Caenorhabditis elegans: one gene and its partners. The protein of the gene in region 1 interacts with the protein of each later gene in a pairwise test. Each region holds a gene or a part of one and is shown on either strand. Other genes may lie near its edges. The genes, in order: Y65B4A.7, Y69H2.3, idpp-5 and R02F11.1.

Evidence for each region.
Region 2: the proteins of Y65B4A.7 (region 1) and Y69H2.3 interact in a two-hybrid assay, tested with the Caenorhabditis elegans proteins (one large-scale study listed by BioGRID).
Region 3: the proteins of Y65B4A.7 (region 1) and idpp-5 interact in a two-hybrid assay, tested with the Caenorhabditis elegans proteins (one large-scale study listed by BioGRID).
Region 4: the proteins of Y65B4A.7 (region 1) and R02F11.1 interact in a two-hybrid assay, tested with the Caenorhabditis elegans proteins (one large-scale study listed by BioGRID).

What each region holds. Positions count from the first base shown.
Region 1 is NC_003279.8:643,422-650,245, forward strand, and holds Y65B4A.7 (LIM zinc-binding domain-containing protein), read right to left. Parts: upstream 3,822-6,824; 5' UTR 3,805-3,821; coding exon 3,700-3,804; intron 3,650-3,699; coding exon 3,584-3,649; intron 2,564-3,583; coding exon 2,362-2,563; intron 2,316-2,361; coding exon 2,218-2,315; 3' UTR 2,205-2,217; downstream 1-2,204. Other genes in the region: Y65B4A.2 (Peptidase C1A papain C-terminal domain-containing protein), read left to right, coding at 2,030-2,146, 4,386-4,653, 5,291-5,583, 6,172-6,327.
Region 2 is NC_003283.11:18,659,791-18,667,836, forward strand, and holds the start of Y69H2.3 (Follistatin-like domain-containing protein), read right to left. Parts: upstream 4,337-8,046; 5' UTR 4,307-4,336; coding exon 4,240-4,306; intron 4,198-4,239; coding exon 4,121-4,197; intron 4,072-4,120; coding exon 3,936-4,071; intron 3,022-3,935; coding exon 2,827-3,021; intron 2,761-2,826; coding exon 2,569-2,760; intron 2,524-2,568; coding exon 2,329-2,523; intron 1,922-2,328; coding exon 1,832-1,921; intron 1,388-1,831; coding exon 1,298-1,387; intron 1,191-1,297; coding exon of another isoform or gene 1,053-1,190; intron 1,003-1,052; coding exon of another isoform or gene 930-1,002; intron 875-929; coding exon of another isoform or gene 669-874; intron 518-668; coding exon of another isoform or gene 445-517; intron 401-444; coding exon of another isoform or gene 280-400; intron 31-279; coding exon of another isoform or gene 1-30.
Region 3 is NC_003284.9:3,787,432-3,796,075, forward strand, and holds idpp-5 (Activated in Blocked Unfolded protein response), read right to left. Parts: upstream 5,385-8,644; 5' UTR 5,376-5,384; coding exon 5,322-5,375; intron 5,272-5,321; coding exon 5,140-5,271; intron 5,092-5,139; coding exon 5,035-5,091; intron 4,985-5,034; coding exon 4,919-4,984; intron 4,876-4,918; coding exon 4,756-4,875; intron 4,279-4,755; coding exon 4,022-4,278; intron 3,971-4,021; coding exon 3,889-3,970; intron 3,703-3,888; coding exon 3,577-3,702; intron 3,527-3,576; coding exon 3,332-3,526; intron 3,288-3,331; coding exon 3,164-3,287; intron 2,915-3,163; coding exon 2,830-2,914; intron 2,779-2,829; coding exon 2,574-2,778; intron 2,526-2,573; coding exon 2,454-2,525; 3' UTR 2,311-2,453; downstream 1-2,310. Other genes in the region: pmpl-1 (UPF0057 membrane protein F47B7.1), read left to right, coding at 601-654, 734-859; F35A5.5 (uncharacterized protein), read right to left, coding at 6,481-6,667, 6,721-6,794, 6,847-7,152, 7,870-7,938.
Region 4 is NC_003283.11:4,797,519-4,804,685, reverse strand, and holds R02F11.1 (CC domain-containing protein), read right to left. Parts: upstream 3,593-7,167; 5' UTR 3,539-3,592; coding exon 3,457-3,538; intron 3,413-3,456; coding exon 3,245-3,412; intron 2,557-3,244; coding exon 2,276-2,556; 3' UTR 2,002-2,275; downstream 1-2,001. Other genes in the region: R02F11.3 (Cation efflux protein cytoplasmic domain-containing protein), read left to right, coding at 247-634, 1,001-1,419, 1,605-1,766.

The DNA of each region.
Region 1 (6,824 bases):
AAGAAAATTTGAATTCCCGGCAAAACTTTTTCTGATAATTTTTTGAAATTCCCCGCAAAAATTATAGTAAATGAAGATGATTTGAGCAAAGTTATGACGTGGCCGCGGAAAAAATTGATGGCCTAGTTTTCTCTTTTCGCGGCCACGTAGCCAGAACAGACTTTTGGGACCGTACAACCAACAAATATTTCTTCCCCTTTCAAAAATACATAAAAACCAGATTTTGACATTTCTAGGCCATCTAGAGGTGCCTCGTGGCCTAGAAATTTGAAAAACTCTTCCAGAAAATTTGTTCTGTATTTCTTGAAAGTGCTCCAACAAATCTGTGCAAATTTTAAAAACGTTTCAAAATATTTATTGAATAAATTCTTTTGTTGCACAAAGAGGTATCAAATCAGACCACCAGATTCGACCGTTGATCATTGTTTCAGTTGATAGGTAGGCAGGCGTGGTTGCCTGAAACCTGCCGGCCTCACGCTGGGCAAGAGGCAGGCCGCCTTAATGTCAGGCAGGCAATGCCTACATGCAAGCCCTACTTCTACGATTATCTCGAAATTTAGCGAGTTTTTATTTGTCCAAAAAAAATCGCAACTGAACAACATGAAAAAGCCGCCAAAAACTTTCATAAAATTCTGTCCGTAGTTTGCCGTTTCTTGCGTCTCATGCTTAATCCCTACTGTAATTATGCTGAGATTTTCGATCTTTTTCACTTTTTGAAAATTTTTGGCAATTCTTTTTAAGTTTGTTGAGATTGTAACTTATGACAAACAGTAACTAAAAAGCGTGGCCGCCAAATTTTCTAGGCCATCAATATCAGTTGCGTCATTTCTTCACCATACTGGACCGAGAAATATTCTAGGACATGTGTTTGCGTCATTCCTCTTCCATTCCTAGTCCCAAAAATTCCAAGACCACTGGTAAGTTTGGCCGAGAAATATTCTAGGCCATCGATGTTAATGACGCCATTTCATACCCGAATTGGCCACTAAAATTCTTAGGTCATCAGTGACGTCACACCTCTTCCAAGCCTTGGAATGAGCATTTCTAGGCCCTCTAATCTAGGCTTGGCCGTCAAATTTCCTAGGCCAGGTGACGCCATCCCTCTTCCATGCTCGACCACTAGGTCAAATGACGTCACTTCTCTTCCACCTACCGCACTTTGATTTCCTAGGCCACCATGTGACGTCACTTCTCTTCCATCTAGGTTTCCCATGCCCTTCTCCTCTCACGTGGTATCAGAGTGTCTCATTTTGGCTTGAATACGTTGATCTACAAAAAATGCGGGAGAAGAGACGCAGAGTTCTCAACTGATTTCGCTTGGTTACGCACGTGCTGCCGTCACATGTTTTTGGGCAAAAAATTCCCGCATATTTTGTAGATCATACCGTAATGGGGTGTCCTCTTGTTAAATATCGAAATTTCACTCAAAAATTTTGAACGTTGAGCTTTTTGTCTCTGGTCAATTGGTCAGCCGCGCAGTGTTCCGGTGTTTGTGCTCATGTTTTCGTGTGCACATTTGTGCTGCTGCTAAGGCGTATTTTGTTCCGGGCGGGGACAGGGGGGAGAAGCAAAAATGTGTCAAATTTTGTTTGTTTTGCCATTGATATTGTCCTTCTGCTCAGAGGATTTCCTCATTTTACGCCGTATGTGCAAAAGCATAATCACCACAATAATTTTGAATATAAGTTTGCAAACGCGCCCTATTGATAATCCTCGCCCGTGTAGTCTGCGTGCACGTGGTGTCAAAGTGTCCCATTTTGGTTTGATCTCCGAGAAATGCGGGAGAAGAGGTGCAGACTTTTCAACTGATTTTGCATGGTTAAGAGTGTGCTGGCGTCACGTTTTTCTGGGGGCAAAAATTCCCGCATTTTTTGTAGATCAAATTGCAAAGCGCCCTATTGATAATCTTAGCCCGTGTAGTCTCTTGTTTAATTTTCAATTTTTCTGGTTCGGCACCTAAACTGTAACTACGACACTCGGCAAAGTTAGACTGTTAAACTCCGCCCACTTAATGGCACCTTTTTTGCAGAAATGTACCCAACCGACAAAGAGCAGACACGGACCACATTTGAGACGAGAAGTCGGCGGAAACGGCTGGCGCAGGTCGCCGCCACAATTGCTAGCGTGATATTACTCTTGTTGGCAGGTAAGTAAAAAACTACGACACTCCGAGACCAAGAAAAAAATCGATAATCGAAATATTGAAAATTGCAAAATTTATTTCGCCGGATCATTTTCCATATCGATTTTCTGAATGGTATGGTGATAGCAATCCTCATCGTAGGCACATCCCTGGTGAACCACGTACTCTTGACCTGAAAAATAGGTTTCGTTCGGTGGAGCACATTTGCATACACTGACCTTTAATCGGGTGGCGACACGCTTTACACTTGAAACATGCCATATGCCAGTGGACATTGAACGCCGACACGCATCTCTCAAAAGTCGGCAATTTGCACGCGTGGCATTTTGGTGACTTGGCCGCCCGGTGACAGTCCGCGCAACGGAGCGCGTTACCGTACGGCGCGGGCATTGGATAACACGGAGTCATGCCAATGACTGTCTGGAATTTTGGAGAAATTTATTGATTTTTTGACGGAATTTAATGAAATAAGGAAAAATCAATAATCGACATATTTATTTCGCAAAAAAAAAAAAACATTATTGATTTTCACGGATTTCTGTCTTCCTCATAAATTGAAATGGAAGAGTTTGCCAAACTAGGCCATTTTGGCTCGGCCATATCTGGGGTAGATTTACGGTGCGTTGCGTGTCGCGTCGCGGCTCGGTTTTTGTAGTAAAACTAAATGTATTTGTCCGTGCATGGAATTCTGGCTTCCCTCATAAATCGAAATGGCAGAGTTTGCCGAACTAGGCCATTTTGGGTCGGAGAGATTTTGTGTAGATTTACGGCGCGTTGCGTGTCGCGTCGCGGCTCGTTTTCAATTGTAAAACTGCTGTATTTGTCCGTGTGGCGTACACAACACTTTTCCACGCGCTGTCCGGCAGGCAATTGTCAGTGGAGCGCAAAAATTTAATTAGGAAGGCCAGAACCCCGTGTCCGTGTGGAGTGCACGACTTTCCCGCGCGTTGTCCGGCGGGCGATTGTCAATGGAGCGCGAAAAATTCAATGAGGAATGCTTTTTGCAAAAACAAATTACATAGGCTTCTGGCCTTCCTTATTGCATTTTTCGCGCTCCATTGACAATCGCCTTAAAGCAGGGGAGTGTGTGTGTGTGTACTCCACACGGACAACTTAAAATGAAAACCGAGCCGCGACGCGACACGCAACGCGCCGTAAATCTACTCCGGCCGTGGCCGAGTCAAAATGGCTTAATTCGGCAAATTCTTACATTTCAAAATATGAGGGAAGCCAGAAACGTGTGTCACATGTTATAAAATTAATTTTGAAAAAAAATTATTAAATTTCGCAAAAATAAATTATCGCTTTTTGTAAGAATTTATCGAATGAATTGATTAAAAATTTATCGAATTTTAGCGAATCAGAAAATATCGATTTTCACTAAGAATTTATCGAATTTTTCGATTTTCGCTAAAATTATCGATTATTGCAATGTTTTACCTGACAAACCGAGCATTTCAGGCATGAAATATGATACATCTCGTCTTGAATTTTGATCACTTTTCCCTGCAAAAATCGATATTTTCAATTGAATATATTTCCAAAAATGTGCTCACAGTTTGAGCTTCTTGACGAGTCAGCGTTGTTGTGCAGCCTTTGCAATGGATATTATATGGAAGAACAATCTTTTGGAGACGTTTATTGTTCGACGAGAACAACATTTTTCGAATTTTTGAAATGATTAATTTAAAAATTTAAAAAGGAGAAAATTGAAGAGAAACGTGGGAAAACGTATTGATTTTTCAAAATTTTATTGATTTTATAATCACGGGGTTCTGGTCTTCCTCATTGAACTTTTCGCGCTCCATTGACAATCGCCTTCCGGACAACACGTGGGAAAGTCGTGCACTCCACACGGATAAATACATTTAGTTTTACAACTAAAATCGAGCCGCGACGCGACACGCAACGCGCCGTAAATTTACCCCAGATATGGCCGAGCCAAAATGGCCTAGTTCGGCAAACTCTTCCATATGAGGGAAGCCATAAATCCGTGTATAATCAAACGCGCAATTTAAAAAAATCGGTAGTTGAAATTTATCGATTTTCCCTCGATCTTATCGATTTTTTAAAAGACTTATCGATTTTTATCCAAATTTATTATTTGAAAAATCAACGTTTATTGATTTTTGTCATGATTTATCGATTTTCTCAAGAGATTATCGATTTTTGCTGTCGATGCACCATGTGCAAACTTCGCCACGTTTTTTCGCGGCGAGACCCAAATTTTTTGAATTTTCAGTTCTCGGTCTGGTATACGGTAGCTTCTACCTCTACCGTCGATATGTGACAGATGCAAATGATAAACGGGATAATGATGAATATTTGCGAAAACTCGTTCGTCAAGTCAATGACTCGCCGGAGACCACGTGGAAAGCCAAATTCAATAAGTTTGGTGTCAAAAATCGATCTTACGGATTCAAATATACGAGAAATCAGACGGCGGTCGAGGAATACGTGGAACAAATTCGAAAATTTTTCGAGTCTGATGCGATGAAGCGGCATTTGGAGTGAGTTAACTCAAATTTGAGCGGGAAACAACGATGCTCCGCGCTCTCGCCGCATGTAGTTTAGCGCGTAAGCTGTGATGCATACGATAGTCCTGCAATGCATCATATTTTACACGCAAATGCAGAAATTACCAAATTTCGAGAAAAATCTATATTTTCCTTTTAAAAATTATCGATTTTTTAAACAAAACTTCTGAATAATTGGATTTTTCCAGAAGTTTTAAAAAGTTTTGGGTACAATTTTAAAAAGACAGCAAAATGTTCGTAAAACACCAGGAAAGAATTTTGCGCTTAATATCTGATGCTTCGTAAACTCCACGGGCTTCCGGCCTTAAAGCCGAGCTACGCGCCGTAAATCTACCCCGGCCGCAACGCGCCGTAAATCTACCCCGGCCGTGGCCGAGCTCAAGTGGCCTAGTTCGGCAAAATCTTCCATTTCAAAATATGAGTGAAGCCAGAGGCGCGTGAATGATGACTTCCACACGGTTCGGTAGAGCGCATTTACACTTATGTACCCTTTGCCGGGCTGCGTTCAAAACCTAAAAATTTGAAATTTTGCGCGTAAGATCTGGTGCATTGGGTTCTGAATTATTTCGACAAAACATGGTGCATCATCCCAAAAATTGCAATTTTGCAGTGAACTTGAGAACTTTAACAGCTCCGATGTTCCGAAAAACTTCGACGCTCGTCAGAAATGGCCGAATTGCCCGTCAATCTCGAATGTTCCAAATCAGGGAGGATGCGGGAGTTGCTTCGCGGTCGCCGCCGCCGGTGTCGCCTCCGACCGTGCCTGTATTCACTCGAATGGAACTTTTAAGTCACTTTTGTCCGAGGAGGATATTATTGGATGCTGCTCGGTGTGCGGAAATTGTTACGGCGGAGATCCACTGAAGGCCTTGACCTATTGGGTTAATCAGGGACTTGTTACAGGTAAGCGGTGACGTCATAGGTGGCCTAGGAACCTTTGATCTACAATGTGATTGAATTTTATATCACGCAATTTGTAATAATTTCTAAAAAAAATTATCGATTTTTCTGAAAATTAACTTGTTCCAAATTTTGAACGAATTTTCTAGAAGATTTTTGCAATTTATCGATTTTTGCAAGCTATCGATTTTTCCCGCAAACTATCGATTTTTCTAGAAAATTATCGATTTTTCTAGAAAATTATTGATTTTTCTAGAAAATTAACGATTTTTCTAGAAAATTTTCGATTTTTCTAAAAAAAATTATCGACTTTTTTCTCAAAAGTATCGATTTTTGCAATTTATCGATTTTTTGAAATTTATCGATTTTCCCTGCAAATTATCGACTTTTTTGAAAATAAGCTTTCCCCAAAAATTTGAACGAATTTTCTAGAAATTATCAACTTTTGCAATTTATCGATTTTTTTTTTGCAATTTATCGATTTTTTGCAAATTATCGATTTTTTGCAAATTATCGATTTTTCCAAACAATAACGATTCTTCTAAGCCCGTGGAAGAGTTTTTCGAAAACCTAGGCCATCTCTATTTCCAGGTGGCCGTGACGGTTGCCGTCCCTACTCGTTTGACCTGTCGTGTGGAGTCCCGTGCTCGCCGGCCACGTTCTTTGAGGCCGAGGAGAAGCGAACATGTATGAAGAGGTGTCAGAATATCTATTACCAGCAGAAATATGAGGAGGATAAACATTTTGGTTAGAGATATTTTTTTTTAGAAAAATAGAGAAAAATTTCTGGGATCTATTCAAAAATGGCAAACTTTTTGGAAATTATCGATTTTTTCCGGTAAATAATTATCAATTTTTTTCTCGGAAAATATCGATTTTTTCGGAAATTGACAATTTTTTCGAAAATTATCGATTTTTTCCGTTAATGATCGATTTATTCGGAAATTATTGATTTTTCCGATAATTATCGATTTTTCGGATAATTATCGATTTTTTCCGATAATTATCGATTTTCCGGTAATTATCGATTTTTTCCGATAATTATCGATTTTTCGGATAATTATCGATTTTTTCCGATAATTATCGATTTTCCCGATAATTATCGATTTTTCCGGTAATTATCGATTTTTTCCGATAATTATCGATTTTTCCGATAATAATCGACTTTTCCGATAGTTATCGATTTTTCCGATAATTATCGATTTTTTTTCGATAATTATCGACTTTTCGGGTAATTATCGATT
Region 2 (8,046 bases), on another chromosome or scaffold:
GCCGCCGGTGCACACCTGGGGGCAGAATCTCTGGAAATTTTCGGTTGTAGGTTGGAAATCCAAAATTTTTGAGTTAGGCAAGCTGAGAGCTTTCGAAAAAGTATAATTATGACTGGATTTTGAGCCCCTTGAAAAAATTGGAAAATTGCGAAAACAAAATTTCCAAAAACAATTTTTTTTGCAGAACCTAGTCATGTTTATACTTATTTGAAAGCTTCTGATTCGTTGATTTCAAAAAATTTTTCAAAAACTAATTTTGCTCAAATCCCGCCCACTTACCGGCTCTTCATTACACTTGGTGTCTGAGCAGACAGTCTTGCAGGGTTCAAACTTCTCATTTGATCTGCACCGTCTGTTGATTGGCTTTTTGATAGGAGCTTCACATTGTGCAATCGGGTCGCTGAAACAATAATTTAGTGGAAAGAAGCGGGGAATTTGATCTACCATGGTTGCGTGAAGCATTGAACCTGGTGGAGGACACATTGGGATCCGACGAGGCAGGACGTGGAGGCGCAAGCTGGAAATTTTACGGATTTTCTAGCGTCGGACACTTCCAAGGTATCTATATTCAGATGCTTCAAGGATAGAGAAAGCAGCCGACACATCGCAGGTCCGCAGGACCATGTTAAGTTGCAGCGCCCGACATATCGTGGCTCTCAGTCACCTACCATTCACATGAATACACATCGGCATGAGCTCACAACCCTTCTCCACAGTTGAACCAATACATCCACTTGGCCTGACCATAGCGCACCCGGCCGGGGTCCCACAACGGGCCGTCATACAGCTTGGCCCGGCCTGACGGCGCTCACGGGGCTGGATAAGAGGCTTGATGAGTCTCAAGTCCTTTGGACGGCATGTTGGGATTGGGTTACTGAAATTGAAACTTTTTTTCTGCAACAAAAAAAAATTCCGGACTAAAGCCCTACCATGGAGCCCGGATACACGTGACCTGGACTAAAACGCATTCCTCGTTGTAGGGACAGTTCTGGGCGCGGCAATCTGAAAATTTCGACGATTTTAACTGAATTTTTTTCTGCCTAAAAACTCACAGTCCTCCTCCAAACACTGTGGCTGACGCTTGCAACCCACGCATCCGACGGGCTCAACCATTCCACAACCTCCCTTGAATCCGCATCTGACGTTGGCGCACGTGATCCCGGTTGGTGGGGTCTCTGGCGCGGTTCTCACTTTAATTTTTTGGGTGTTAGAAAACTCAAGGATAGGAATAAAAGTACTGAAAATCTAGCCGAATTCAACAGAAAGTTCCCGATTTCCCCAAATCCTAAAGCGATACCTGGTACACAAGTCGGCTTGCCAGTTGACATGGAGCATTGGTGACCGGTACGGCAGTCCACCAAGTTGCATGGGTTCTCGTCAGTGCTGCCTGGAAACAATTTATATGTTAGAGTCGGAAAATTCGTATATTTTGAGTCGCAGGGTATGCACCAGGATTGCGTCAAGTCATTACGTCGTTGCATCATGATTTTGGCATGAAAACAAGCTAAAATCCCGATTTTTGCGTCAAAAACAACCCCAAACCTTCAAAATTGATTCAAAAATGTGCCGAAAGTTGGCAGATTTGTTGAAACTCGCACGTTAAACCAAAATGTGTGCCAAAAAAACGTTTTCGTCAAAAAACTGCCAAAAAGTATGTCAAAAGCCAATATCCCCATAAAATTGGTCCAAAACTGTCCCAAAATGTGAAAATCGTTCCGAAAATCCACAAATTTGTCAAAATTCCATCCAAGTCCATTTCAGGACACCAAATTCTCAGAATTTTAGCAAAGAACCGCACCAAACCAGCGCCCGCGGACAGAAAAAATGATACCTGGCACACAAGTTGCCTGGCCAGTTGACATGGTGCATCGGTGACCGGGCTTGCAGAGTACCAAGGCACATGGGTTTGTGTCAGTCTTGCCTGGAAACCACATTTGTAGGGGAAAATCAAAAAATTCTGCTCAAAACTGCCCCAAAATAGGAAAATTGCTCCGGATTTGTCGAAAAAAGGGGTCAAGTCGTTTTTTGCACCGAAATTTTGGTCCAAAAACTAAAACTTTTGTTGAAAGGCCTAGATTTACATCAATTTTGATGCAAACCTGCTCATAATCGCAAAATTGTTCTAAAAATCAACAGCGGAGTCAAAAATGCCGCAAAAATTCGTTTCAAGACACCAAACTTGCTAAAACTCTCTAAAACTGAGCTCAGCTCAATTTTCTTAGATATTTTCATCAAAACTTTGCCAGAAGCCTATTTAACATGACTTTTTGCCCGAAAATTCACTCGAGACCCCTAAAGCCACTAGAACTAGGCTTCAGCCCTACTAACCAGTCGGTGGGCACTCTGCAAGCTTCACACACTGTCCCTGCCGGTTCCTAACGAGTCCCTTCTTGCAAGAGCATGCTTTTTCGCACCTCATCATGCACCTAACAAATGGCTGTGGATTGACAGGACATTTTGCCTCGGAGCACGAATTGTGACAGTCATTGGGCTCCTCATTCTTGGAGCAAGTCAGTGTGGAGCCTAGAATCACTGGCTCTAACTAGTTTCCTTTAAAACGGTACCCACCAGTAGCCGGACACTCGGTAGGGTTCACACACTGTCCCTGGCGGTTCCGGAGGAATCCCTTTTTGCAGGAACATCCGATGTCGCATTTCTCCATACAGTTTACCAGTGGCTGGGGCTTAACCGGACACTTTTTCTCGAAGCACGCGTTGTGACACTGGTTGGGCTCCTCGTTGGTTCCGCAGGTTTGAGAGCCTGGAAAGTTGCAGTGCGGTGGCGCAATTCTGGTGCATTTTTTCGTCCAATTTTTAGAGTACTTACCAATCGCTGGGCACTCGGCCTCCTTGACACACACTCCTTGGTTGTTTCTGACGAATCCGTCCATGCAGGAGCATCCGACTTGGCAGGCCATCAAGCAGTTCACCTGTGGAGCATTCTTTTGTGGGCACTTCTTCTCGGTGCATGGGTTGTGGCACTCGTTGGATACCTCGTTGACTGGGCATGTGAGGTTGGTGGCTGGAAATTGGTGGGGGGTTAGAGGGGTTTGGGGTCGGGGGTCTTGGTTTGGAGGCTTTAGGATGCCTGGTAGGTTTGTGCTTGGCACCCTTGAAGTCTGGCGCTGGTACCCACGATCTGGGCTCGGTACCCCAAGCTCTGAGCTTGGTACCCATGAACTCTGGGCCTGTGACCCATTAACTCTGGGCTTGTTACCCTTGAAGTCTGGCACTGGTACCCACGATCTGGGCTCGGTACCGTGGAGCTCTGGGCTTGTTACCGTGGAGCTCAAGGCTTGGTATTCTTTAACTCTGGGTCCGGCAGTCCCCGAGCTCTGGGCCAGGTACCCACGAAATCTGGGCCTGGAACCCATGAACTCTGTGGCTGGGGACCCTGAACTGTGGAGCTGGTATCCCTGAACTCTGGGCTGGGGACCTCTGAACTTTGGGCCTGGCACCCCTGAACTCTGGGCCTAAGATCCATGAACTCTGGGGGCTGGTACCTGGGTCTAGATACCCGTTTCGAACTCCGGGCCAGTGTCTGTAGGGCCTGAGATGCCTTAGAGAATGGGCCTTGTCAGGAAGATCTGATTTTCAAGCGGACCCCGCGCTCCAAAACATCAGATTCCAGGACTCCGTGTGCAGCCCGGCCCAAAATTTAGTCTTTCGGTATCCCCAAAATTTGGGGCAGGTACCCCCGAACTCTGGGCCTGGGACCCTTGAACTCTGGGCTTGGCGCCCACAAAGTCAGGAGGCTGATACCCCCAAGCTCTGGGTCTAGATACCCGTTTCGAACTCCGGGCCATTGTCTGTAGGGCCAGTGCGGCCTTAGAGATTGGGCCTTGTCTGGAAACTCTGATGTACTAGCGGACCCAAAATTTCAGATTCCGAGACTGCGTAGCCCGGCCCAAATTTTAGTCTGTGTCCCCTTCTAACCTGGTGGTGGAATTGGAATCGTCTCATTCGCCGCAACATTGCAGTCCTTCTGCTCAACACAACGATTATCCGAAGTTCTGCGGAAGAATCCACTGTTACACTGACATCCCATGACGCATTGCAGTGTGCAAAAAGTCTGCAAAAACCACGTTGTAAGCCGGAATTTGACAACAAAATCTGCTCACCGGAGTCGGAAGCCCGCAAGTCGGCTCGCAAGCCGTGCCACACGTCTGGAAGCTCTCGTTTTCTTTGCATTCTTGGTCTGAAAGGGGTTTAGGTACACTTTTAGGTTGGAAAAACTTACCTCTTGTCGCTGAAAGTTGAGCGTTTGCTCCGATGAGCAGAACGCTGAGCAGCACAATATACTGCATCGCTCCGAAACTCGGAAACTCTGGAAAACTATAAAATCACGCCATTTTATAGCATTTTTATGCGAACCAAAACATAAAGTTTCAGGAAAAACATTATAATAAAAAAACCAGAAAATCGAGAAATCAGACATCAAAAGTGCGGAAAACATTATGTTTTGAGAGAGAAAAGGAGAAAGTAAACAAAAAAAAATGTCTGTGTTTTGATGATTTTTGGGGTCAAAAGATTGGAAATTTTGCAGAAATTGCTGGGAAAAAATGGGGAGTTTAAAGAAAAACAACATTCGAAGTTACAGAAAACTTGAAAACAATATGCAAATATTGCAAAAAAACATGGAATTTTCGGGAAAAAACTATTGTTCAAAGTAAATATTTTTTGATATGTTTTCAAGTTTAAATATGTAGTTTGAACTGTTTTTTCCAAAAAAAAATTATAGAAAAAATCTATGAATTTCAGACAATTTTACATAGGAAAAATCAACTTTTCAGATATTTTTACATAGGAAATTGGAAATTTACGGCATTTTTTATATAGACAAATCAAATTTTGAGACATTATTTTACAGGAAACTCAAAATTTCAAATATTTTTACACTGAAAATTCGAAATTTCAGGAATTTTTACATAGGAAATTCAGAATTTCTGCCATTTTTCTACTGGAAAATCACTTTTTTCAGAAATTTTTTATATAAAAAAATTCAAAATTTGAGACATGTTTCGACTGAAAAATGTATTTTTCCGGTATTTTGAACTGTGAAATTCAGGATTTCGGCCACTTTTAAATGAATAAATGGAAATTTTAGACATTTTTACATAGAAAATTTGAAAGTTCAAACGTTTTTTTTACAGGAAAATCAATTTTCTAGACATTTTTAAACATGAAATCTGAAACTTCAAGAATTTTTTATATAGGAAGTTCAAATTTTTTACGTTTTTGTACTAAAAAATTCAAAATTTCCGGCATTTTCTGCTAGAAAATCAATTTTTCAGATATTTTCACATGAGAAATTCAATATTTCAGATTTCTATACAAAAAATTTGAAATTTAGGACATTTTATACTGGAAAATCATATTTTTAGGATATTTTTTCATAACAGTTTGAAATTTCATGCATTTTTACATAGAAAATTTGAAATTTCTGCCATTTTTCTACTGGAATATCACTTTTTCAAACATTTTTACATAAGAAATGTGAAATGTTTAGAGATTTTTATATAGGAAATTCGAAATTTCAGAAATTTTTTACATATAAAAATCGATTTTTCAGACGTTTTTCTACAGGAAAATCAGTTTTTCAGATATTTTTGTATAGGAAATTTGAAATTTCTGCAAGTTTTTGAAAATCATTTGAGAACTCTGCGTCTAAATTCCCGCAATTCTTGTAGATCTGGGGGGTAGATCAAACCGAAATGGGACAGCATGGGCAGTTTCACTACAAACTACAAACTACACTTGAGTACTAAAATTATACGACTAAATGACGAGACAAAATCAATATTTCGAACCAACAAAAAAATAAACGAAAATCTAACGAAATTCACAAAGTTGTAGTGGATTTTTGGATTAAATGAACACGCGCGAGTTGACTAGAAAAAACGGAAATTGAAGGGTTAATCCCCCAACCCGCCAAATCTTTTATTTTTTGATCTCCCACACATTTTTTACACGTTTTTTTTTGTAAATGATGTGTGGAGATTGGGATTTGTAGGGGGGTTTGGCGGGAAAATTGAATTTTCTGATAGAAAATTTGAGAAAAATGTAAAATTTTCGAGAAAATGGGGTTTTGGGACTACTTTTGGAGAAAAAACCGGCAAAAAAACTGAAAATTTGGCGGTTTTTGGCAGAATTTATTGTTTTTTGGATGTTTCGGGTTATAGGAAATGAAAAGTTCAATAGAAAAACTGAAATTTCTGACATTTTGCAATTAGAAAATTAAAATTTCAGACGTTTTTACATTGGTAATTGGAAATTTCAGACATTTTTGAATAGGAAAATTCTAATTTCAACCATTTTTATGAAGGAATTTTTAAATTTTTCTACAAAATTTTCGTTTGAAATCGACTATTTTTTGCCAAATTTAGCACTTTTTGAAGGTCAAAAACTCGATTTTCTCATCAAATTTTCTATGATTTTATATATTTAGAAGCGTAAATATTTGCACTGTGTCACCATTTGTTTATATGATTTCATGTGAAAAAGCTGGCTGAAATCAAAGATGAAAAGCTGATTAAATAAACATTTTCTGCAAGAAATTTGGGATTTTTGATGTTAATTTTGAAAAATATTGTATTGGCGGGGTTTGGCTCTTTTTGTGGTGAGACCCTTGGAAAATGTTTTGGCGGGAAATTCAAACTTTCTGAGAAATAATACTTTGGTGGGAAATTCAATTTTTCTGAAAAAAAAAATTTTTGGTGAAAATTTTTTTTGGCGGAAAATTCAAATTTTCTGAGAAAATTTTTTTTGGCGGAAATTCAAATTTTTGGAGAAAAATAATTTGGCGGAAAATTCAAATTTTCTGAGAAAAATTTTTTTGGCGGAAATTCAAATTTTTGGAGAAAATATTTTTGGCGGGAAATTCAAAATGGATTGTTTCTAGAGGGAGTTGGTCAGTCGGAGTAAAAAGGAAAATATGCAGTTTGGACAGTTTTCAAATAGAATTCTAAAATTTCAGACATTTTTAAATTGGAATTTAGAAAAAGCTGAGTTTTTTACACTAGAAACCTGTAATTCACTTTATTTTTTTTCGTTTATTTTATTTAGATTTTTTCAATTTTCATTTCCTATGTTTTCCAGGAATTTCAAAAATTTTCTAGAAGGAAATTTGGAATTTCCTGCTTTTTTATAAAGTTAGTTCAAATTTACAGACATTTTAGATAGGAAATTAGAAAATTTTGACATTTTTCAATAGGAAATAAGAAATTTCAATAAATTTACGTAGGATAATTACGTAGGAAATTTAAATTTCCAGACTTTTTAATATGAAAAAATTACGATAAAAACTTCAGATATTTTACATAGTAAATTTAAAATTTTGGAAACTTTAACACAGGAAAATTAAAAAATTCTAATTTCAGGCACTTTAAGATGAGAAATTTAAAATTTCAGACAGTTTTTATAAGGAAAACCAAAACTTGAAAATTTGGGTTTTTGGACAATTTTACACAGGAAATTGAAAATTTCAGACATTTTAACAAAAGAAAAACAAAAAATCCGGCCTTTTATATATAAAAAGTTCGAAAAACCGTAGTAAAAATTAGAACACAAAATACCAAAATCTGCACATTTTATACCCAAATATCAGGTCAAATTCGTCATTATTTTCTTTTGAATTTTCGCATTTTTTTGAAGCCCAACCCACTCGGCCTTGAACTGAACTACGGGTGGTACTCGGCGAAACTACCGAAAGATCAAAAGTAAATGGGTGTAGTGATGACAATAATAATTGACCGAACAAACTTCATCGGTTATGTCTGCTGCTGTGAGAACAAAGAGTACGGGGCTGACTGGATATATGACTCATGAAACATTGTGTGACGTTGGTAGCTAAACAGAGTTCACTAGAAAATGAAGTATGTTTTTCTAAACAAACCAGTTCCTAACTGGTGGAATTTGGTAAAAATAAAAAATTTTGAAAAAAATTTTTTTTTTGAAATTTCGAAAAAAAATTTTTTTGAATATTTTTGTAAATTTTCAACCTGGCCTTATTATGTAAAATTTTCAGGGTTGTTGAGTATATTTTCAA
Region 3 (8,644 bases), on another chromosome or scaffold:
CGGGTCGATAATTTCCGGCCGATCAAACTAATCGAATAACGTTTTTTTCTCCCAGTCAGTGACAACAAAACAGATTTGTTGTGTATGTATGACTTGTTGTCTCTTCTTTTTCGTCTCTCATACCCCCATCTCGTCCTTCCTCCGCCCAAGTGAACCCCGCCCATCAACGGCCACATCTCAGTCTCTGTGCCTCTTCTCACCTCCATTTTGTTCTCCTACTCTTCGGTTGGTGCACTCTTTTGTAACTGATACATCTTCTTTATCCCTGTCCTGTCCAGAGGTCATACGCCAAAAACCCGCCACCACCACGTGCCCCGGCGGGGTAAATTATGATATTACGTAGGCTTGACATTCGTCCTTGCATTTGTTCTTGAAACAAGAAAAATGTAGAAAAAAGGACTAACACATATCGTGTCAAAGGACTATAAAACTATAAAACAACGCAGTTTTCTTTCACCATCTCCTTTTCTTTTTCTAGCCTGTTTCAACAAGCTCTCAGAGTTTATTTCTTTACCATCACGAAATATTGTCCCTTCTCTTGTCTTTTATCAGTCTAGCTTGTAAACCCGACTAAAACGTTTTCAAATGTTTCAGAACACCATGGCCATCGAAATGCAACAAATCATCGAGTTGATCCTTGCGATCTTCCTTCCAGTAAGTAGTTTTCAACCGTAGCATTATTTGAAATTTCAACAACTCAATGCAAAACTCAACAAAAATTGCTGATTTCCAGCCACTCGCCATCTTCATCCACGGAAACGACTGCAACATGCACGTCGCTGTGAACATCATCCTGTGCTTCTTCTTCTTCGTGCCAGCCGTCATCCACGCTCTCTGGTACTGCTTCTTCAGAGCTTAGATCAATCGCCCCTCGCGAAGATCACTGCCATGCCGATAATCAACGCACCAAAAAAAAATCACATGCATATTGTATCTGCGCCCGCATTCACCATTTTTCAAAGTTGCCTTAAGTTACAATTTTTCTCCCCTCGAATTTTATGAATGGCGTTTTTTTCATTGCTTCTGTTTTCCTATGATTCTTGTTAAAATTGAAAACTGTTCAAAATAAACAACAATAAATAAATAAAAAATCAATCGATACAAAGTTGTTTATTGCATTGTTTGAGGGAGATATGTCTCGAAGTATTTTCACCGAGAAATGGCCCGCGAGACAACTTACAACGCGTATATATGTGTGTGTGTGTGCCCACTTCATGCGAAAATAGTGCAGCAATCACCAGAGACGCACTCGGGGAGGGCCGATTTTCGAAAAATGAACAATAAAACTGCCCCGTGGTGGCTGATCGCTGTTGTGTACGTTACGTGTATGTGAAGGTCGACAACATCTTCCCTTTTTCGTGTTGACTAACATGACCGGGGTCGAGTAAAATAGTGTACAGGTACATACGCCCAATGTTTTGAGATTAGAGTATTGTTGTGAGAAGGGTGAATTGTCTCTCATCGTGACTTTAGTACTTTACAAAAAAACGTTACTTGCGATAAGTTACCTTCAAAAGTAGATCGCATTCCTTCATGTCAGAAAATTATAAATTTGTTTTAAGAATGTATTAAGACCATTTTTCATAAAGTAGCAAACTTTTTAATTTCATATTAGACCCAGAACGGCGCCACAGTGTAATGAGACCTTTGAAAAACTTCTGAAAAAATTATTTTGGGGCTCAAAACATTGGGAAAAAAGCTACATTTGCAAAATTACCTGAAATCTCAAATGTTGCCAAATTTGTCAGTCTCACAGCGGTTAGAAGAAAACTAGCAATTTTGTGCTTCTATTGACTAAAAAAAGTGTTTTAAATGTGGAGTACTGCCAGTAAGAAAGGTGTTTAAAACAATTTTTATGGTGTTAAAATGACCAATTTTTATAATAAAACATTTAAAAATAAATTAGAAATTAGTTTTATTTCGGGTCAAAAAGCGGTGAAACTCACTATTTCCGACTCAAAAGAAACACATTATATTTGGTTTTTTGGCATCACATTAATCGTTTTAACGATTTCCCCACTTCACCTTCAATTAATCAAAAACTACGAAAAACCATTCAAACACGGAATCTATATTTTGGCAGTTAAAACCTATAGGATAAGAGTTTTCTCCAAATAATTTGAAACGCCATTGAAGTTTTCCGACAAATTCTCAAAAGCTCTCATTGAAAATTTGCTACTTCATTTCTAAAATAAAACATTTTGTATGACAAAATTATATTTTGAATACCCAATAGTTTATCATCATGTTTCAATTTCAAAATTATTATTCCAGATAAACAAATTTGAAAGTCACATGAAATTTAATAAATTAAAAAAATGAATATTTATTTAGTTTTAATCTTATTATTCAAATAGTCTCTAACTACCAGCACGATTGATTGCTTTTTGATATACGTACATAAGAAAAACCAATCAGTATAAATTATAAATGGAAACATTTCCGCCCCTCCTCTAAGCCTTTGCGTACGAGTCGCCGTCCATTTGAGTGTCAGAGAATGCAGACAATGTTTTTCCGCTGTTTTTCTTCAAAAAATAATTATAAAGTAGCCTATTAAATTGACAGAATAATACCTCTTCCGAACTAGTCGAGTTTGACTTTGAGGTCTTTGGTGAGTCTCTCATTGGCTCTGTGTAACTGCCGCCAGCACTATTATTATCTTCATCATCCTCGTCGTTGTTGTTATTTGGACCGTTGTTGTGACCGTTATTGCCATTATTGTTAGAGTTTGTCGTCGAGCCACTCAACTTGCGAAACTTTGCAGCCATATTCTTGTACCTAAAAAGTTGAGGAGATCGGTACTTGAAAATGTATTGGAAATTGCATTACTTCAAACAGCAGAGGTTTTGTGAGCATTGCACATATCCTGGCTGGCATTGGCAAGGAACTCCGCAAGCTACAACTACTTCGGCATCTGAAACTCTGATTTCTAGATCTAACCCAAAAAAGGACCCGCGTTAGAAATATTAATGAAAATTGGTGTTATTATACAATTTTTGAATTATTGTGAGTTCTGAAAAGTAATAAATATGTTATTTGGAAAGTTCATCCCCTGTTTCGGCATGCTTGACACCCTTGGGTAGGAGGAGGAGGGAGAGGTTGAGGCATCCGTTGCTCTGCAAATATCATGCAACTCCTGAACCCTAACCCTACACATTCTTACGCTGTTGTACACAAGTCGGCTGGCACAGCGGCATACAAGCCGGTGCACATTGAATCGGGCCAGCCGCATAATTCTGAACACATGTTGGACTACAAGCAGGCATACAGGTTTGGACGCATGACAGCTGGAATAGCTTTTTTTGGTTTTTTGGGGTTAGCTTTTTTGTACCCTAGCAATGCAGCTACTCTCGCATAGAGGCATACACTGAGCTGCACATGGCGTTGGAGCCATTTGAACGGCGTATTGCTGAATGCAGTTCATGTCACAACTCGGATAGCATTGCTGTGGACACATTGATTGGACACAGGAAGACGTGCAAGATGGCATACATGCTGGAAGACACTGAGACACTGGTCGGGATACCTAAATTGCTACTACTACTGAGAAATTCTTTGTTTTAAATTTTCTGGCACCTGAAGATTGGTGACACACGCATTTGTACACATTGGTCTACACTGTTGGGGGCACAATGAATATTGCTGTACACAAGATGGGGAGCATGATGGCATACACATTGAGTCACATCTTGGGGCCGGGGGCTGCAATTTTTGGCATTTTTCAATTTTTGAATTTCGATCTGTATCATATCATTTTCTATATTTTCCCATCACCCCCAAACAACCAAACCACTTTAAATGTGAGTCATGCCAATTCAATTTTCTTTACGATGGCCAATAATTTCGCAAGATCGAAACATGTTTTAGAATTGACTGGTTTTTGCTTACTGGTAGGGGAACCGATATTTGAATCTGTTGAATGCAGGTTGGGAGGCATCTTGGCATACACTGTGGAATGCAGTTCGCTTGCCTGAACAAGAAAACAATGACTGTTGAGAAACCTTTTCAAAAATTGACATACGAGCAGATAGATGGGCAATTATTGGTACAGGTACTGCATGTGACTGCTTGAACGCAAGCCGATGAGCATGCTGGCATACATGCTGGAACACAAGTCTCTTGCTCGACGGTAATTTCGTATTTCTGGATGCATGATTGGGAGCAGGAAGGCATGCACGATGAAGCACAAGTTGGACGTTGAATTGCTACTTGGATTGACTGGATACATTGTGGAGTGCACACCGGTTGACATTGTTGAGGACAGCTCGGGAATACTTGCTAAAATTAAAAAATAATAATATTGCGATATTTGGAACGGGGATGCCACAAAACCTAAAAACCCAAGTATTCACAAATTCATCAGAAAAACTGGGCAAAATGAGATTTCCAAAAACTGTCAATTAGAAAATATGTGGGTTTGATGTTGTGAAACTAGTTCTAGGAATGTACCTTTTTATTTCAGTACAATTACCCAATTAGATATGCATAGAAATTAATATAAAACTACAGTATATTCCCTATTAGTATGGTCCCTCCTCACTCGACTTTGACCCTTTATATCTCGCTTGTCTTCGATCATATTCAAAAATTCAAACGGGAAAATCTTTTTCGAATCTATCGTTATGCTCTGGTTTTTGAAAATATCAAAAATCTTCTGAAACCGCTAAAATATAAGCCGACAAAGTCGATTGGTGGGGGGGGGGGCCAAACTAATAGGGAATATACGGTATCTATTATCAAAACACTAATATTCACCTGAATACAATTTGATGAGCATGATGGCATGCACTGTGGAGCACACTCCGTCGGTCCTTGGATGGCGTTAATACAAGCTGGGAGACATAATGGCATACACTGCTGGTCACAAGATGGTCCCTATAATATCTTTTTTAGAGTATACTTTGACTAGAAATGATACCGATCTAACTAAATTTATACATGCTGAATCGCATTTTGGCATACATTGATCCACACAAACTGAGGTCTAAAACAAAGAAAACACATATGTGCGATTGGAGGAAAATAACTAAAAACCTTAGCCATAACACAAGCTTGCGTGCACATTGGTTGACACCGATCGGGACAAGTGACCTTTAAAATAACAAAATAGACGGTGAAAGTTGTATTGTGAGAACTCACGAATCCGCTGCACGAACCGCATCCACAGTTACCTGAAGGGCACATTGCACAACATTGTCTTTTTGAACGGACCCTTGTGATGAGAGATCCATTCATTTTCAGATATGGTGAAGTCAGAGCGGATGTTGAGAACTGCAAAATTAAATTTTTCTGGAAGGTATTATTTTTTGAAAAAAATATACCTCATCTCCAAGAGACAATTGAAACACTGCAAAAGCAGCGATAAGATATTGCATTTTTACACTCTGAAAATTTTAAAGTCTTAGATTATCGCTAAACGGATAGTAATAAGGAATGAAAGGAATACAAAAATGTCCGGCACGGTGGTCAGTTCCCCGCTATTTGTACCCATATATTTATAGAGATTGACACCTGCATTGTGCCCGGCGGCCGCGGCCACTTTTTGTGAACTCGCGCCCATCAAACACCATTTCATTTCATTGCCAAACACTGGATCGCATACCGATATCCGGAAATCGCCCGGTCATTATGCTCAATTTTTCAAGTGGTCTCGCAGATGGGAGGCGGATTTTGACACTTTTTGGCTGCCATTCTCATGGTTTTTTGATTTTTTTGAAACATTTTTCATCGGGCTCTATTGATATAGTTAAGGGGAAGGAATATTCAGGGACAAGTGAAAAGACCAATGGAAGATTGAATTTATGAAAAACTGGCCGAATAAGTGGAACATTCGACACGTTAAATGATTGCTCAAATTGGCCAAATCATTTTTGAATCGGCATATTTTAATATTGTGTGACTTAAAAATTGACATTCCAATGCTTCAAGGTTTCAACTATCTCTGGTGGTCATCAACTTTTGGTCTAAAAAATAAATGGAGGGTGTCATCAGAACTCAAAAAATACTCAAAACTCGCATTTTTTCAAGCATGACTCGGGTAATAACTCATTTCTCTACAGAATAAATTTATTAAAATGACATAAAACATTTGCAGTATATTATGAAGTGTTCATTAAAAGAAAACAGAACAGTAGGTCCTGGCCGGGATCGAACCGGCGATCTTCTGCGTGTAAAGCAGACGTGATAACCACTACACCACAGGACCACATGCCTTGCACATAGACGGGCAGTGGTTTTCATCGGAAACAGAGAAGAACGGAACGTGTTTATTTTGTAGGTTACCAGTTGCTGAAATTTCTGACAGAAAGTTGGCACAGTGCTGCCAAGATTTTGCCAAGATCACTTAAGATTGCAGCTTGTCAAAAATAGCTAATCGTGAATATGATATAGAATGTGTGTATGCATTGTAAAATAAGTTTTCAGATATTTTAATATTTTATTAATCGTGATCGTATTGAAAGATTTCCTAAATTTTTCTTATTAGTCTCGAACAACCATATCAATTTGTTTTCTCCTGATTGCCACGGCATTATTCTTCACAAGTGTAGCTCTCTTTCTCCGTCCATAACCAAAACTATTACAACCACAAGATGATCCTCCTCCTCCTCCATAGCATCCTCCGGATGAATAACCAGAACTGTAACCACCGCCTCCGTATCCACAACCTCTACAAAATGAAAAACCACACTTAGCAAATATAGTAGTTGCAATTCAACGTACCCTCTCATACAAACCGACATACAAACCGGCATGCAGCAACTACAGCAATTGCTCTGCACGGGAACTGGTACTGGCTGCAAATTGAATTTTAACGCTTAAACTTTTGAGTTTTCAAACACAACATACCACTGGCATAGGCATCGGCATCGGCATAGGCATAGGCATCGGTACAGGCACTGGTTGCGGAACAGGTGCAGGTACTGGGACCGGGGCAGGAATCGGAATTGGGATCGGTGGTGGCATCGGTGGTGGAATCGGCATCTGACAGCAAATCATCGTGCTCACACAGCATCCCCCACCTCCGAAACCAAAACCTCCACCAAAACCTCCTCCAAATCCCCCGCCAAATCCAAAACCTCCAAATTGGCGTTTTGCTCGGATATGAGCATCCTCTAGGTTTGCCAGAGCAGTTGTTGTAGCATTTTTCTTAATCTAAAGAAATAAAATTGAGATTGTTAAAGAAGGTGTAACGGTTTCTATAATTTTTCAAGCATTTTTTATGGCAGTGTAAAATTTCAAAAAAAGAGTCCAATTTATACTAGTATCTCCAATTTTGACCTTTTCCGTCTCGTACGGGTCCGAAGTTGAGTTTTTTGAATTATCGTCATTCATTGCATATTTTGATCGTTCATATTACGTTTTTTCGTTGGTTGAGGTACATTTAAGACCGATCGGTAACCAATTTTAATAATTTTTGGTTACATACAGTTTTTGGTTACATATTTTAATCAACAAAATAACGTGAGATAAATGATGAAAATATGCAATGAAGGATGATAACTTTGATATAAATTATTAGCTTATATTTTCAAACGACTCATAACTGTTAGTAAAATTTAAACATTTTTTCAAAGTTTTCAATCATCAAAGTTTTCAACCCATGTCAAATACAAACTTTAACGTGAAGTACAATGTTCAAATTTTGATCCCTTTGTGCAAACACCTAGTACACGATAAGAAAAAGTCAAAACCTTCACGCATCCACTCTAAAAAAAACAAGCGTGCAACTAGTCTTGGCGACTACAGTCATGACAAGATATATCGGCTTGAGAATCAACAATTGTAAAGGCTCTTGATTAGATGTGAGAAACTCGTTGATGTTCAACGATCAAACAAACATCTACTATCTAATAACTGAAAAAGTCTTACCTCTGTACTTAAGCATTGGCTGAAAATTGAATACAATACTATATAAGCTCCAGTGTTCAGACGAAACATGTGTGGAAAGTATATTAATTGTAACTAGCGCAGACCGTTTTATATTCGGGTCAGTTTCAATGTTTGCGTTTGGGTTCCGTGACAAGATGGACCGGACTATATCCAGAATGCTTAGTCATAATAGTTCGTTTCGTGAATTCTGAAGTGTAAGGAGAAAGTTTCTGTAAGAAATTCAATACAAACTAAATTCGAATTAAATGAATATGTTTTTGCTTCTTTTCTTTTTTTAAATTAAAAAGAATTTTCTTTAATTCAATTATATGAGCTTGTTTTCAGCGGGATGTTCAATATTTGCAGCAATATTTGTTGCAAGATTTGTGTATGCGAATGTGCACAAAGAGCAAAAAATCAAAGGTTCTATTTGATTACACACACTTGAAGATTGGACTACACTCATTTGCTGCTCATCTTTGATTATCAACCCCCCCCCCCCACAAAAAATTCTTGACTCATTGTTACTTATTTAATTTTTTGCTCGGCCTGGTGGTAGTTCAAATAAACGAAGCGGAGCACAATACGGGAATCCAGAATTGTATCGCGTGCAACTGTATACTTTTGAGTTGAATTGGGAGAAGGTGGAAAAAATGTCGCAGACTATATTTTGGCAACTCTGGCGGAGAAAAAGAGCTCGGATAAAGATCATATAGCAAAATGGTGCTTGTGAACTTTGAACCAAATCCTGATGGAACGCTGGGAGACACTTTTT
Region 4 (7,167 bases), on another chromosome or scaffold:
TATAAAGCATCTTCTCCAGAATGTTTTAAATTTTTTTTTGGCAAACGGCAAATTGGCAAATCTGCAAATTGCTGTTCTTTCAAATTTCAGTAAACCGGCAATTTCCGAAATCCGGAGACCCTCAATTTGCCGATTTTTTTGCTAAAAACTTTTTTTAAACTAACGACACATTGTCAATTTCTAAACAATTAATCCAAATGTCTGTAATTTACTAAAACAAACAACTATTTTCTCTAAATATTTCAGAAACCAATGGAACGCACAGACACCGAAGAAAAATCAGTTGACGAGAAAAAAGACGACGAATCAAATACGGCCGCGAGAATGGCCAACATCACATTAGCAGTGAACTTCCTTCTGATGATTGCAAAAGTCGTCGCATCCGTTCTCTCAGGATCCATGTCGATCATTTCATCGATGGTTGATTCTGTGGTAGATATCACTTCAGGACTTGTCATTTCACTTTCAGAAAGAATGATCAAGAAAAGGGATCCTTATCTGTATCCGAGAGGAAGGACCAGGTTGGAGCCATTGTCCTTGATTTTGATCAGTGTGATCATGGGAATGGCGTCGATTCAATTGATCATTGCGTCGGTGAGAGGAATTCATGATGGAATTCAATTCCATCTTTATGGTAAGAAATGCTGAATTGAATTTTGCATGGAAAGACTCAAAATAGTCTGAAATTCTGATTAAAAACATTGTTTGAAATTGCTCCAAACCTAGGAGCCCTTCTAATTTTCGAACCAATCAGCGTCTTCGAACTCATTTTGTCTGATTGGTTGGAAACTGAGCTGATTAGTCTTGCGGTTCTCAGTTTTGGAGGAAATCTTCAATATATTCGCCCACAAAGTGATGAACTTATAAAATTTTTAAAAAAGTGAATTCAAAGTTTTCCTACAGGATGTACTAGCTCTACCTCTGATCCTTCCCTGATCCTTCAATCTATGCTCCCCTCCCTCAGCAATGGATTTTAAGTTACAATCCTAAAAATTTCCAGGAATCGGTGAAGAACCCAAGCTCAACGTCACCATCACCTCTGTAGTCATCATGGTGTCAACAGTTCTCGTCAAGCTGTCCCTCTACCTATTCTGTAAACGATACAAGGAACCATCGGTCAACGTGCTCGCAATGGACCATCGCAACGATTGCATCTCCAACACGGTCGCCCTGATCTGTGCCTGGCTCGGCACCAAGTACTCGTACTACTTTGACCCAGCCGGTGCTATTGTGGTTTCTATGTACATTTTGTATACCTGGGTGCAAACTGGACGGGAGCATTTGGCAAAGCTGTCGGGTAAAACTGCAGAGCCAGAGTTCATTAATAGGATCATCAAAGTCTGCTTGGATCATGATGCTCGGATTTCACATATTGATACGGTTTATGTGTACCATTTTGGAAGCAAGTTTTTAGTTGAGGTAAGAATATTTTTTCTCTGGATTCTTCAAGCCTAAGCCTGAACCTAAGCCTGAGCCTAAGCCCAAGCCTAAGCCTAGGCCTAAACCTACACCTAGGCCTAACATAAGCCCGTATCGCACATTTCTGAAGAGGCTGAGCTTACAACTGAATTATTGTGCTACTCTAAAATCTGTAATATTTCCAGGTGCACATTGTGCTCGACGAGAATATGATCCTCAAAGAATCCCATGACATCAGTGAGACCCTCCAATCAAACATCGAAAGCTTGCCGGAAGTTGAACGTGCATTTGTTCATACAGACTATGATTATGATCATCATCCTCACGACGAGCATAAAATTGTTTGAATTAGTTATTATTAGAGCACATTTGCATTATGATTTTGTTTTTTTCTTCTTCCCAGTGCCCCCCTACTTTAAGTTTTATTTCATATTTTTCCGGTTTCATGACAGAAATCATCAGCATCTCTCAATGTTTTTTTTTCGCATAATTAACTATACTTTTTTTTGTTTGAAATTTTGAAAATTTTGATTTGCAAACTATAATATTTTTTCTCACATATCGTCGTAGAGTGTCAAATGTTTCTTTTTTTATTTCATTAATTAAAATAAAATAATAAATAAACAAATTAAATTTAAAAACAATTCAAATATTTTTTTGGGATTTCGTTTGTTGTTGATGTTGTTGTCTTGGTGGTGGGAACGATTCGTTTCAAATAGATTAGAATAATTTAAAAGGAGCAGAGAGTCAGAGAACGGAGAAGGAAAGTACAATATATTAAAAAAATATATAAAAATATAGAAAGACTGGGGGCAATTTGTCGCATGAAAAAAGGGAAAAATTGAATTCCATTTTTTTACTTTCCACTGCTCAAATAGCACAAGTTTCCAGCTCCACAGGTGTATCCAGTTGGGCAGACTCCGTTGACACATGATCCGAGGACTCCTCCGGATCCGAGTGGGCAACAGTAGTTGTTGGTGTTGCACATGAATCCGGTTGGGCAGACCTGGTTTACACATGGTCCCGTGCTGTTTCCGGATTGGCATCTGCAGCAGTAGTTGTTGCTCGAGCAGAAGAATCCTTGTCCGCAGAGTCCTCCGAGGCAGGCGGCGACGGCTGGTCCTCCGGAGCAGGCGGCTGAAATTTTTGTTGGAATTAGACGACTTTCCACACCCATATTTGAACTCGTTCTGATACGAGCTAAAGATAGAAAAAGATAGGTTCGTGCGTGTTGTCCAAACCGCGCCGACTTCGTGAGACACAGAGCACAGCAGCACGCACCGAGCAAACGCAAACACCCCGCGAAACTTCGCAAATATTTTGTATTTATGTTGAGCCGTATAAGAAGGTGTCTCCATCACCGCAAAAGGGACTAAGCAGCGTCTCCCCGGGAGTTGTAGCAATCATTAGGTAATCAGTGTGTGTGTTTGCTCGAACCGGAAGGGAACGGCGGGGACACTTGAGAAATTGGAACGGTGACTGGATTCTTGATATCTCTTGATATGATTTTGATAAGGTTTGAGGTTTGAACTAAGGGAGATCTAAATTTTAAAGGTGTCAGCATTCAACTTTTATCTCATATTCCTTACTAAAGGGTTAAAGGACGATGCGTTACTTAAGCGATATGAACGGATCTGGGTACACTGAACCTAGGGAAGCCAGGACTTGAACTCGTGACCTCTAGATTGCTAATTATCAATACTACCGACTGAGCTATCCCCGCTCCTAGTTTTTAATAATTGCGACGTTTTCTTTAACATCTCTGATTTATGAAAAAAAGCAATTTTTCAACTTCCTACACAACCTTCATATTAAAAAAACTTACTATCAAGGTTATTGTTTCCTGGGCAACAGCATCCTTGGACACAGACAGATGCGACAGAATATCTCTGGCACTGGGACGAGGAACTGCATGAGGAATAGCAATTGGATGGGCATCCAAACTGCCTCTTCTGACGGAATACTGTGGAGTTGGCTTCACGAATTTCTGGAGCTGAAAGTCGGATTTTAGGAGTTGAAGAGTGAGTGACAACATACCTTCTTTCGCGTCTTCTGCGTTCAGTACCCAGAAGCAGGCGAGGGGGAGGATAATGCAGAAGGAGATGGCGAGTTGCTTCATAATGAGTTATTTGAAGGTTTTAAGACAAGTAGGAACACCTGACCCTGCGCTGGCCTGAAATTTTAATAATAATAATAATATTATATCAGGAAACTAATAAAGATTCAGATAAATAATAAAGAGTAATATGTAAGTAAAACTGTAAAATTAGTAGGTAGAGTAAGGTAACTCAAAAATAAATCTGAAGATTTGTTCTCAAGGAGAAGCCCGATGGAGCAGCAAGACTAAATGGTCATTTGTACGTAACAGTGAGGAGAGAGGGGAGGGGACACTAACTGACCGTCTTCTCTTTTTCGTCTCCCTCCGACTTTCTGTGTTAGCTTAGACTCTGGCGCCTCCGCGCGGCGACGTGCTCTTTGCGCGCGGCACGAAACTCTCTCATTTCCCCCATCGGGCTCAGTCCAGTCTATGTGTTTGTAAAATGAAGTGGACGATTGATGTTCAAATACTTGAGTGACCCCACACACACACACACACATACACCAAAAGATTGTGAGCGCGCGCTTGTCAAAATGTCGTTCAACTTATCTTATCACGGTTGAAGCATATATAGAAACTTTCCAATTATATTCGGATTGCTAAGGTTTTTATGAAAAGCCCGGAGTCTGTGGTCAATGGAAAACATATAGCTTTCTAATAGTAAGAGCCTTTTGCTTCTTTAAATTTTTGCAATGCTTGATACTTAAATAGTAGTTAGGATGTTAGTTGATAGTTTTTTTAATGCTACAAGAAAAATTAGAATAGTTGAAAAAATGATTCCTACCGTATTTAGCATATTGGACATGAAACTCATTGATCTACTTAAGCGGCGTTTACTGTCTAACTGTAGATAAATATTTTGCACGTGTTTTGTCAGTTAATGACAGTTTTTTGATAGAACCGAAGGGAACAGAGATATAACAAAATAGAGCAAGGGTTGCATGTCTAATAGGGAAACTACGGTGTCTAGAAAATCTTAAAAACAGAGAACAGAGCAAAATCTGTTCCTGATGTGTGAGTAGCCGATTTGCCATCGGAAGAAAATTTGACTCTAAAGTGTCGGAGCACTGTGCTCTTTATACTCGGTGCACTCGAGTGGCAGCGGTGGCGTCAGAGAGACAGCGAGAGCTGCCGGGCCAACTGACCGGCAGGTAAGAGTATCCGGTTTTGGGATGCAACACACGCGGGTGGTGTAGACCACGGCCGGAGACGGGAAGCCATCATCCTTGAAGAGGCAACTTCTCAGAGAGAAAGTGAGCACATAATACACCTCCATTATGAGAGCACAACTCTCTTTTTTTCCCAACACTCGTCCAAACGCGGTTTAAAAAAAACACGTGGAATATGCTTTGTGACGTCTGGGAATTATTGGAACAAGAAACATGGAAGTCATGCGAGAGTCTTCGAACAACTTAAGATGTACGCATAATGTCTCAGTGGAGACATCGCGATCGAGGTCCGGACACAATGAACCAGTGGTGGCCGCCAGCAATCTAGAGGTCACCAGTTCAAGTCCTACCTCCCACTAGGTCCATCCAGCCTTAAGTGGGAAGTAGAGCAATCCACGACTGGACTATTGGTCACAGTCCCCGGCTCGAACAAGGCTTAAATTGGAGCTGGACTGCTGTGTCTGACCTTTAGATACGCAGAAAAAGCTCAGTTTTAATTGCCGTACATATTCCAGAGTTGTGTCTGTTTTGAGCTTGTTCTGCATATGGGACGCCGAGGCATCAAAGTGCCTACCTACGGCAAATTAGCCGTGCTCAACAAACTCCAAAAAATTAATACTCATTGATGCTTTTTGGAGCACCAAAACTACTGAATTCTGAACAATCACCTGGATTCCGAATAAGTTCCGTGTAGTATGTTTGCTTATGCATCTAAATAACTCAATTTTGTAATTTTTTGGCGAAAAAATCAATAGTTTTAGTCAAAATTGTACTGTCAAATTTTTGACGTGTGCGACAAATTTTGAAATTTGCCGAGCTCGGCAAATTTGGCAAATCTACTTTTTTGAAATTTCCCGTGCTCGGCAAATTCGGCAAATTCGGTAAATTTGCCGCACACCCCTGGTAGGCACGCAGGTAAACAGGATAATCTACAGTTTCATTTTTTTAATTGCGATTTCAAACTATTTCTCTACAAGTATGTATAATAGGGAAAATATGGCAGTTCGGACATTTTAAACGATTTTTTTTGCCTGGAAATTGGGAGGATTTCTTTCCTCAGGTAATTTGCGATATGTCTATCAGGAACTTCAACTTTTCTACCCACTCGAACAAGTTTTATTTTTAGTGTTCCTGGATAAACATTGAACATCTGGAGAGCAGTGAAGTTCCGACTTTGTCCCAAAATAGTAGAAGCACGCTCCTCTCCCTACACTCTTATCCTATATCCCTTATCACTGTTCGATTTTTCGAAAAATTTCAACATTCCGATTGTGTCGACAGGCTTGTACTACCAAGCTCTGCATACAAACTTTTGAGAGAGAGAGAGAGAGAGAGAGAGAGAGAGTGCACATAAATGTTTCTCTGCGCACAAATTTCGGACAGTCCACTCTTTTCCCCCCGCCCGTCCATTTATCAGTGATAAACTCTCGGGAATTTTGTATGTGTGCTCAAGTGATCCTGCTTCTCTAAAGGGCGACTCTCTCTCGCATGTCTCCCCAGTCGTTCAGAGCAAACACGGATCATCATCATTATCATCCTCATCATCATCAGCCAACTTCTGCGAAAGAATGAGCCTCACCCGAGTGTTTTGCATGAGATCCGATGATTCCGTTGCCGCCGCCGAAATGCCATTCTTTGACCGACGCTGCCGCCCGCCGCAGCAAACATTTTGGTTATGATTCGATGAATGCGGGGAAAAGTGTACACATAAAGAAATTACAAAAGGGAATCCGGAAATTTTCTTCCACGGAAATGAGGAAAAAGCTCATTTGTATAAGTTACACGATTTTTTTGTAAGGTTTTTGTTAGAACAAGTGCCGGTGTGCAGACTAGAGTCTTGGACTTTTTGAGCCCGATAACTTCAACCGGCTAGTTAGACATTTTTAAAGTTTTGATAACCAGCAATCAGTCAATATTTAACCTCAAAAAAAACATTAGTCACATAGAATGCATTTAACGCATTTCTGAAAAAATTATTTGAAAGAGAAATTTTTAATTTGGTCAGTGCGAAAAATTTAGCTACAGAAGAGCACTTTGAACTAGAAAAAGGTCGATATGATATTTTTTCATTGAAATTTTTCACTAATTAATAGACACCTAAAACTGGTTCAAGTAAAACAATAATTTATTGGCGTCTAATTAGAGGGTAACATATTTTGGAAGTTTTTCAAGAACTTTTCTTTCGAAAAAAAAAGAATTTTTCATCCAAGTCAACCAAAAAATTAGTTACGTTTTTTCACTATCTATAGATCTCTTCTATAGGCACCTAAAACTGCTTCTAACGTGGATTTGCGCAAATTTTTGATAATTTTAACAGCGCACAAGGACAGCACATTTTGAAAGGTTTTTGGAACATTTTTTTTGAAAAAATCTAGAAAAAAATTTTTTCTAACTACCAGTTGGACACATTTTTGTAATCCTGCCTTAATCTTTGTAACCCTGCTAGAAAAGTTAAATTTTTATAATATATTATAATTTTTA